Coturnix japonica: one gene and its partner. The protein of the gene in region 1 purifies or fractionates together with the protein of each later gene. This does not show direct contact. Links are inferred from orthologs where the notes say so. Each region holds a gene or a part of one and is shown on either strand. Other genes may lie near its edges.

The links.
Region 2: the proteins of AKIRIN2 (region 1) and IPO9 purify together in Homo sapiens (affinity purification with mass spectrometry; 3 studies listed by BioGRID and IntAct, counting the BioPlex papers as one, with this or other methods). This does not show direct contact. The link is inferred for Coturnix japonica from reciprocal best matches to the Homo sapiens genes AKIRIN2 and IPO9.

Annotation. Positions count from the first base shown.
Region 1 is NC_029518.1:69,560,599-69,565,427, reverse strand, and holds the start of AKIRIN2 (akirin-2), read right to left. Parts: upstream 3,294-4,829; 5' UTR 2,847-3,293; coding exon 2,648-2,846; intron 1-2,647. UniProt on the Homo sapiens protein: Molecular adapter that acts as a bridge between a variety of multiprotein complexes, and which is involved in embryonic development, immunity, myogenesis and brain development.
Region 2 is NC_029541.1:953,415-958,357, reverse strand, and holds the start of IPO9 (importin-9), read right to left. Parts: upstream 3,094-4,943; 5' UTR 3,074-3,093; coding exon 2,905-3,073; intron 1,248-2,904; coding exon 1,186-1,247; intron 613-1,185; coding exon 526-612; intron 113-525; coding exon 1-112. Other genes in the region: KDM5B (lysine-specific demethylase 5B), read right to left, coding at 4,189-4,326, 4,786-4,943. UniProt on the Homo sapiens protein: Nuclear transport receptor that mediates nuclear import of proteins, such as histones, proteasome and actin. Serves as receptor for nuclear localization signals (NLS) in cargo substrates.

The DNA of each region.
Region 1 (4,829 bases):
GTTGGAAATGTGAGCGTTACAGGAAGAGCCTGAGAAAAAACCCTCAGTGGAGTGAACTCTGCCTATTGTTATGAATTTCTCAATACAGGAAAAAAAAAAAAAAAAAAAAAAAAAAAGAACCAAACAGTGACTCAGCTGGGAAGACTTGTAAAATCTGCCTGGAATTCTCCTCAGAGAGAGGGCAAGATTTATCCAACCCAGATGTACACGTCGGCATCAGCAATGGTTACCTCAATTAATCCTACGGCCAATGGAGAGCAGCGAATACTCTTCAAGGACCCTCAGCCTCATCCCCAGGCAGAGCTGTAGAATAAACCATCCATTTCTTCTGCACGACTATCGAGAATCCCACAAATTATTAGGTCAGATGTGCATTTACAAAATTAGATGAAGTAAATCCCACAGAATGTTTCAAATGACCCCTTTTAAAGCTCTATTTTGTCCACTGGGTATATTTCATTTCATCATGCCATGATACCCCTAAATTCAGCTGAAAGGAAAAAGCAAGCAAGCTCCTTCACACTGACATTTGCACTCTCCTGTGTAATTTCTTTGGCTTGGAACAGAAAACAGAGGGAGCTTTTACACAACAGCCACGTAAACGTGCACAACTTGCAGACACACTGAGCCTCGCTCAGGAGCACTCAATGGCTCACAGACATTTGGAACCACTATTTATTGTATCACGGCTCACACAAAACACCCTCACTGGTACAGAACCACGTTCCCACAAGGATTACAGCCCGCGCCTCCGATTTTATCAAGAGATGAGGCCTGGATCTGCTCAGCTGCAGTGACGTCTCTGTTCTTAAGGGCCACAATCACTAACAGTATGACAGGAATTCAGGTATAACCTCAAATATTGCCATAGGAATCATCTCTGCAGGACGTTTTCTTGATTCATCTCCTTCCAGCAATACACACGCACTGGCCAGATGACACTTCTATTCAATATTCATCATCTCAGCTCTCCAAATCCCAGGGTAACAAACCAGAATAAATCATTGCAATGAAGCCACGCATCTTCTAGAAAGAATCAAATGAATTCCAGTTGTGAAGCCCTATCTCAGTACGTACATAAAGCCTTACTGTACTGGGGAGTGCACAGCGCTCGTCGCAGACCGCTGACTCATTCGAGATCTTTTCCTAGAGGTTCAAAAAAATAGCAAGGCATCCATGCCAAGTGCGAGTACTTTGTATGCCCTCCATATACTTCCCTCCCTCTGAGCTTTTCCCTTTTCTTTTTGTAATATCTGAATAAAAACTGCAAAAAAAAACCAACCCAGAAGTGTTCTACTGCATATGCTGTCGTTTCACGAAGTAGGAATACTGAAATAAAGAATTCCCCCTACGTGGATGGCAATGTGAAAGCAAAATGCTCATCCGCCTGCTCAACACCAGCAGGATTCTGAGGCAAACTTCTGCACAGAAAGCAGCAGCGCAAAGAGCTGCGACAATTACAGAGGGCTCCTTTCTGCACACAAAGGACAAAGATCTAATACCTCATCGCCGCCACCACTACTGGCTGCAAGCACAAAGTGAGTGCGTTACTGGAAGCTGCCCAACGAGTAACCATAGGAAGGGACAATCAGTCATAAAATCATCGAATCCTTCGTAGGAATGGACCTCTGAAGGCCATCTAGTCCAACTCCCCTGCAATCCCACAGGCCCGGCCAACACTCGCTCCTTTCTTCTCCTCGTGCCCAACGAGCTCAGCCCTGCACCGTGTCACGGGCAGACCCGCGGCGCTCAGAGCCACCGGCTCAACCACCTCCCCTCGCGCTTTAAGAGCACGGGCACCCTTCTCGCCCAACGTCTCCGAGGCGAGACGGCTCGCTCTCATTTTATCTGCCCCGGAGGCAGCGCACACTCGCACATAACCGCTTTCATCGCACGCTTTTTTCCGCCCGAAACTTGAAGGATGCCGCACAACGGGTCACATTCGGAGCGGCGACGAGCATTAAAGGCCCGCACACGGGATCGCCCCTTTGTTTTATCTGCTCGGGCCTTTCCCGGCGGCGTTTTGCTGGTGATTGATGACCAGCCGCGCTCCCCGCCCCCCTCCCCTCCTCCTCCTCCTCCTCCTCCTCCTCCTCCTTCCAGGCCGCCCCCCCACAACGTCTGGGCGAGGGGCGGCGGCCCCCCGGGACAGACTCTCCCCCCCCCACCCCGAGGGCAGGGGGGGCTCCGAGAGGGTCCCCGCCCCGCCGGGTATTTCCGCAACCGGGCTCGGCCCTGCGGCTCTCCCAGCACCGGGGGGAAGGAGGAGAAAAAAAAAAAATTAAAAATAAATAAATAAATAAATAAAAATAAAGAAACCGAACCTCCTCCGTGCCCACCGCCCCGCACTCCCCCCGCCCGGACCTTGTCCGCAGCCCCCCCCGCCCCGACCCCTCTCTCTCTCCCAGTGCCGGCCGCCCGCAGCGGCGCTACCCGCCCCCCTTCCTCCCCGTCCCTCCTCCCCCTCTCCTGCCGCAAACGGCCATTTCCATTGTGTCTCCGCCGCGATGCTGCCAAAGCCGAGCGGGGCCGGCCCCGGCCCCCGCCAACCGCCGATCCGACGTAAAACGGCCCCGGTGGGGGGGAGCCGCGGCACCCCCTCTTTCCCCCACGCCCTGCCCGCAGCCCCCCGCGTTTCCCCCCTCACCTGTGGTGAGCCGGGAGGACACCTCTCCGAAGGGCGAGGGCTCCATGCGCAGGTATTTCTGCGGGGAGGCGAAGGAGGAGGAGGAGGCGGCGGCCGAGGCCGGGGCTGACAATGGCGCACATCGCCTCCGCTTCGGGGACGCCGGGCTGAGCAGCGGGTCGAAATCCAGAGTCCTTTTCAAAGTGGCGCCGCACGCCATGGCGCCGGGCGGCGGCCGGGCCGGGGAGCGGGGCTCGGAGACGGGGGACGGGCGGACGGAGAGGAGAGCGGCCCTACACGGAGGCGCCTTCCTCGCTGTGTGGGGCGGGAGGGAGGGAGGGGAGCGAGGGAGACGGGGGAAGGAGGGGGCCGCTGCGTCAGGGCCTCCGTCGCCTCCCTATCGGCCTCTCTCAGGGGAGCGGCCCCTGCCCCCAGCGGCTCGGCCGGCCGGATCCCCTGTCGCCGCCCGTCCCGCCGTACCCCGCGCTCCGGCGGGGCCGATTCCGCCCGCGGAAGGTCGCGGAGCGGCCGCTGGGCCGAGGGGTGAGGAGCCGGGCCCGGTTATCCGGCCCGCGGCCGTCGATGACGAGCGATGGCGGCTGGGCCCGAGCGGCGGCGGTGGCGGCGCTCCCCTCTGTGACTCCCGCACCAGCAATATGGCGTCAATAACAACGCCGAGGATTCAAAAACCAGCCCCCCGCACTGCGCCTGCGCACCTGCCGCGGCAGGCGGCCGCGGAGGCTCAGGGGAATTGTGGTTTCTCCTCCCCTTCCTCGCCAATCAGCGGCGGGCTGAGCTCTGGGGGCGGCGGAACTACAAATCCCGGCGTGCCCCGCGCCGCTCTGCCCGGCTTCCGGGTTCTGATTTAAATCCCCCTTCAGCGGCGGTCGGGTGTGTTGGAGGGCGGTTGGGGGTGGGAGCGAGATGGTGGCGCCTGAGGGGCTCGGGGCGGGGGGGGGGGGGTGTTCTCCACAGGCTCCGGGGCACGGCGAGGGGCAGGGGGACACGGTGTGTGTGCTAGGCCCTGCGGCACGGCTGTGGGGCTGCTCGGACTCGTGTCGGCAGCTCCGGTGTGGCTGCAGTAAGGGCCAAGTGCCATCATGTGAGGGGAGAGCAGGGGCAGAGATAGCAGCTGAGGGCTCGGTTAGAGCCGGCCGTGCTGTGAGCAGCCTCCAGGCTTCAGGCTCCATTACTGACAGAGCGCTTGTAGCTCCAGCCTTATGTGGCAAGAGCTGAGCTCCTTCCTGTTTCTAATCGAAGGAAACTGTGTCACAGTTCAGCACAGGGGAAACGCCAACAGGAGCTGCTAGGCCTTAAAATGCATGTAACTTCAGCTTTTATGAGCCTTAATCTAAGGGTTAGCATCGAGATGTTGTCCTCAGAAGACTAAACAGGGAGCGTTTTAATGCTTTTTGGGTCATTATTATCTGTTATCTTTTCCTCTGTACAGAGATACTCGGAATATTTCCTTAGTGAGGAGGATGCTGACAAGCCTTCCTAAAACAGAACGAGGCTGAGGAAGTGCACTGATGTTGTTAGTGTTGTAATTGTCCAACTATTACTTTACCGGTATAACTCCTTCTGTGCATGCTCTTCTTAGGAATAATGATAGCTGGTTTTCCTTCCATTCATTTAATTTGCAATTTCCATTACATTTCCCTAAGCAGATAAGTTTCCCTGTATTCATGCAGCAGTTTCATGTATACTTATTGAGCGCCTCACCAAGCAAGGCTGAGGCTGAATTGAGGAACTTGTTAGTCACTCAGCATGTGCATGAGGCAATTCCTTAGTTTGGAGTGTGCTGAGACTGCCACTACTGCCATCATCTGTGTACTGAGAAATGTCTGTGTTGGGCGCAATGTTCATAGAATCATCTGAGTTGGAAGAGTCCCTGCAATGATCATGAACGAGCATGGTGCCCTGGTGGCCAAGAAGGCCAATGGCATCCTGGGGTGTATCAGAAGGGGTGTGGTTATAGGTCCAGAGAGGCTGTCCTACCCCTTTGCTCTGCCCTGGTGAGGCTGCATCTGGAATATTGTGTCTAGTTCTGGGCCCCTTAGTTCAAGGAGAGGGAACTACTTGAGAGAGTCCAGCACAAAGCCATAAGCAATGATAAGGGAGTGAAGGATCCCCCTTATGAGGAAAGGCTGAGGGAGATGGGTCTCTTTAGCTTGTAGGAGACTGAAGAGTGACCTCATTAATG
Region 2 (4,943 bases), on another chromosome or scaffold:
CAGGCCAGTCCCAGTGGGCGATTGCTGACACTGCGTAGGCAACACTCGAGCGCACTTTGCTGATGGATTCTCTCAGCCCATTGGGTAGGAGCTCTCTAATAGCAACTTTTGCCTGTAGAGAACCACAGTGTTTAGCAAAACATCTCCAGACCAAACCCTGCAGACTGCACCCTGTGTTTCTTTTTAGGGAAGGCTGCTGGGTGCGTTGTAATGTAGTGCTCGCCTCATGCAGAGCCCTCAGGCAGGAACACAGCAACTGCTGAGAGCTGCAACAAGGCAGGACGCAGACATGGATGGAGGACACCCAGGGCTTGTTGAGATAAATACTGGTTCCAATGTCAGGGCCTGTGCTTGCTTTCTTTGGAAGATTTGGGTGAAGGAGAACCAGGCACCCAGCCCAGAAGGGACAGAAGGAAAAAGGGCAGTGCTTCTGGGGCACCATTCCCAAGATCTATTTCAGAGAACCAGTTAATATTCTTAGTGGATAAAGCATCTTAAACCAGGAAACACAAAGCAAAGCCTTACCCTCTCTGTGGTCTCTGGAGGTCTAAACTTTTCTGACTGAGAACACCAGTGAGTTTCCACATACTGTTTCAAAATGACGGATGCCAGCTGCGTTAGAAGAGAGGTCACAAATTAGGAACAAATCTCATAACCACAACAAGCACCACCCCCAACCCCTCAGCTCAGCCCCCCCCCCCATCCCATCACACTGCTTGGACCAAAAAGTCCTTGTCACACTGCTGAAAAAGCCATAGCAGTAAAAAGCTGAACTGATGGCCATTCCTCACACAGCGACAGCTTACACACTGCTGACACCAGAAGGCAGCTATTTCTCACCTCTACAAGAGCACGAGATATAGAGCACATGGTAACCACAGAAACACAGAACCTACACCTCCTTTGCAAGGAGGAAAACACCAACAGGAAAAGCTGTGGCAGAGAGAAGAGGACTTTTGCTGCTGGTGCCCACTGTGCACAGCCAGCACCACACTGGGCAGGCCCAGAAAGTGCTGCTTTCAAGAAAGGAAAGGTCAGCACACCTGGATGTGCTGAAGGAAGAAGTGATAAACCCATAGAAACTAAGGGAAAATGGAGGGCCAAAGGAAAACCACCTCCAGCTCCCCCAGGACACAGTGGGAGGCCCCACAAAGCGCAGTGCTGCCCATGTGTGTGTGAGCTCACCTGCCGGATGGCCAGCGCTCCCTGTGGATCCACTGTCAGCTCTGCCAAATGGACACCAAACTCTGCAACACAGAATAAATGCTTGTGTCAGAACTTTCATTCCCACGCAGGGAAACTCACCGAGACTTTAGGGGGAAGACACAATACCAACAGTGTGACTCATATGTAAGATGGAGAAGACAATTCTAGTGCAGAGCTTCTCACATAAATTGCTGAGCATTCATCCTCCCCTGTGCTCTCTGCACAAACTTCATTTGTTGTCTCAGCATCTCACTTCTTTCCCTCGTGGGTTAAAACCTTGCAGCTCAGGTTAACAACCAGCACAGGCTGAGATGTACTCGGCTCCCCATGGCTGCAGCTCTAACTATTCATCCCTGGGTCAGGACAGGGCTGTGGGTGTCCAGGTGTGTGGTGGGGAGTGGGACCAGATGGCCTTTAAGAGCCCCTTCCAACTCAAACTGTGACTCCATGAATTTAATGGTTGCACTGCCCTTGTTTTTACTTCCAGTGTTCTACCTTTAAAACATGCTCAATGCCAGCATATTTCTGGTTTCTTTATGGCACTTTAAAGCGCTCCTGACTCACGTGATCTACATTTCTTTCCCACAACAACACAGTGCTGCTCTTGCTCCTCCTCTTAGCATCTGCAAGGAGGATACGGCTCGTTCCTCCTGTGCTCCTCGACTCCCAACAGCACAAAGTAACGCAGATGAATGGAACCCAGAAGGCCTCCAGCCCACCCTTGTAGCAAAGCAGCATCAGCAGGGTCAAACCAAGTTGCTCAGTGTATTTTCAAGCTTGGAATCAGCAAAGCTTCTCTGGACAGCGTGCTCCAAAGGCTGGCAGTGCTCATGGAGGACAGCACCCCCGATCCACACAGTCTGAACCTGTTTGGAGCCACTCCATGGGAGCAGCCTGGTGAGCCTCCCCCAAGCGAAGGCATTAAAGCTTCAGAGCTGTGATGCCCTAGGGAGGACAGCAGTGAAGTGCAAAGTTACTCTGGGATATCTATAAAGCTGTGACATGTAGATGATGGGTTTGGACTCAGTGATGCTCTCAGGTCCCTCCCAGCTTGTGATATTGTGACTCCATGACTCCATTCCTCGTCCCCTGGATCTCCCTGATCCATAGAGCTCAGCTCTGCCATGTTCCTGCCCATCCCACACAGCACTGCCGGACCCGTACCGCTGCACCACCACCTCTAAACACCCAACAGCCCCGTTGGTAACAAACTCATCTCCCTGTACTGCACCACGGGAGCGTCACACACAGACCACAACAATAAACTTTCCCTTCATCCTCACGTCCCCTGGGAGCAGCCCCGGCCAGTCACACCCCCCCACCTTCCTTCTCTTTACCGTCAGGTTCCTCTGTTGACGTTTCTGAGCTGACAGACCTTCAGGCGGCACGAAGGGCCCCTTCAGAGCGGGCAGGGGCGGCAAAGCGCCATTAGGGCCCGGCCGGACCCCACAGCGAGGCCGCACGGGGCCGGTGTGCGGTTGTTGTACAGCAGACACCGGTGTAGGCCACACACCGCTCCGTGCCCAGCCGTTCCCCGCCCCGCTCCCGCTCATCGCTGCCCCACACGCGGTCGGGGCCTCCGTGGGCTCCGCTGTGGCGGCTCCACCCCCCGCGGCGCTGCCCGTTCCCGGCCCAGCTCCGTCCCCACATCGCCCCGCTCCTCACACAGCCCCGCGGCGCGGCCCGGCGCTCACTCACCCTCCGTCACCTCCAACACCTTCACCTGCTCCTCGGCGGCGGCTCGCACCGCCTGCACCGGGCACAGGATCCCGGTCAGCGTCTCCACCAGCGCCTCCTTCAGTCCCTGCGCTACCGGGCCCGCTCCGCCGCCTCCTCCCGCTCCTCCCGCCGCCGCCGCTCCCGCCATCGCCCCCTCACGCTCCGCCGCCGCCGCGCGGGATACGGGGCCGCCGCGCGCCAAACGCACGCACGCACGCGCGTCGCGTAGGGACGGCACCGAGCACAGCGCCCCCTGGCGGCCAGGAGGACGAACTGCAGCGGTGGGCGGGGCGGGGTGCGCGTGTCCGGTATGCGCGTGTCCGCGGCTGTGCGCGTGTCCGAGCCCCTCCCTCCCCCCCCACACCCCGAACCCGATTTTGAATGGGTTCCCTCTGTTTTGGAGCAGCTCTACAAACACCATCTCATTTTATAACATAACCAGGGGTTTTTATTCCACAATATAAACTGCAACGTTTGATACAAGCTACCCAAAAAAAAAACAAAAAAAAACCGAAAAAAAAATAAAAGGAGAGAAAAAGCCAAAATACAGCTGTGGCAATTTACTTTACAGAGCTTTTTTTTTTTTTTTTTGTTTTGTTTTTAATCCTTTATGTCTTCTACATCACGGCCCCTCAGCCACACTATGGGATCTACCAGCTGCCCTCTGTACATCAACCAATGCTACAAGCAACACGCCGACCCCCCCCAGCTGTCAATCAATCAGGTCGCTGAAACCAGACATAGAAGTTATTGCTCAGATAAATAAACCTAAAGCTACCGAAAACAAAGGGGGGGAGGGGAGGGAAAAAAGGGGGAGGGGGGGGAGAAACAAACCAAAAAACCCAAAAGCTAAAAAGTCTTCTGAAGGGTGAAGAACAGAGTAAACAGGGAGCTCCTCCCACAAGGAACGACCCCGCGCTGTGGGGCTGCACATCCCAGAGGTATCGATGCTGTCCAAGGGAAGGAAGGTGCCCCTTCCCCCATCAGTGCCGTCTGAGTCGGCCCAGACCCCGCCAACCCCCCCCCCCAACCCCACCATCCAGCTCCTGAAACCTCCACAACCACAAAGAGATCAAAGGGGAGAATACAAAAAGTGTCAAAAAAAAAAAAAAAACAACCCAAAAAAAACCCAACAAAACAACTCGTTTGGAGTTCTGGAAAATGATCCCGTGAGGATACAAGTAGCACCATTTGCAGCCTGGTTCTCCAATGGAAAACTCCACAGCTCTCTCTGCTCCAGTCCTGAAGGCTCTGCTGGCACTTTCACTTTCTGTACGGGGAGCCCTTCCCGGCGCAGCTGATGCAGATGTAATCCTCCTTCTCAGCCATCTCGGGGGAGATGCCCACACACACCTGGTGGAACCATTGGTTGCAGCTGCCGTCGCATTGGACCCAGTCCACCTAAGGAGGAATGGACACACACTGCGGCTCAGAGGCACTCAGGAGTTGCTTTTCAACCCCATTGATCCTAATGAGAACACAGCACCCACTGCACGCCAGGCACCCAAATCACTGCAGCCCAGCTCCATATGAAGCACAAACCCCCCTCCCATCCAGGGGTATGGATGGAAATGCACCCCAGCCCCTCACGCTGCAGGCAATGCCACCCTTCCCCATTTCTTAGCACAGAGTTCCAGGGCTGTGACTATATTCCAGGAGTGGAAGTGAACACGTTCCCACTCACCCCCCCCAGTCCCTTTGCAGCCCCACATTGCTGCTGTGATGCACGGCCCTGCTCCCCTTCCCTGCTGCTCCTGGGGCATTCAGGCAGGACCAGCCCCAGACTGTGACCCCTCCCCACCCTCACACTGCACTTTGCAGGCCAGCAGCTCCCAGCTCAGTGGTCCCACCTCCACTCACCTCGTCTCCCTCGGGCTGCAGACACGTCACTGCAGGGCAGATGGCATCTTCGTCCTCAGAGTCCTCCTGCTCAGAGAACGACGTGTCAGAGGGAACCAAATGACTTTCACTGCTGCGCTGCACCTCCAGGAGCCGTTCCCTCTCCCTCTCCATCCTGC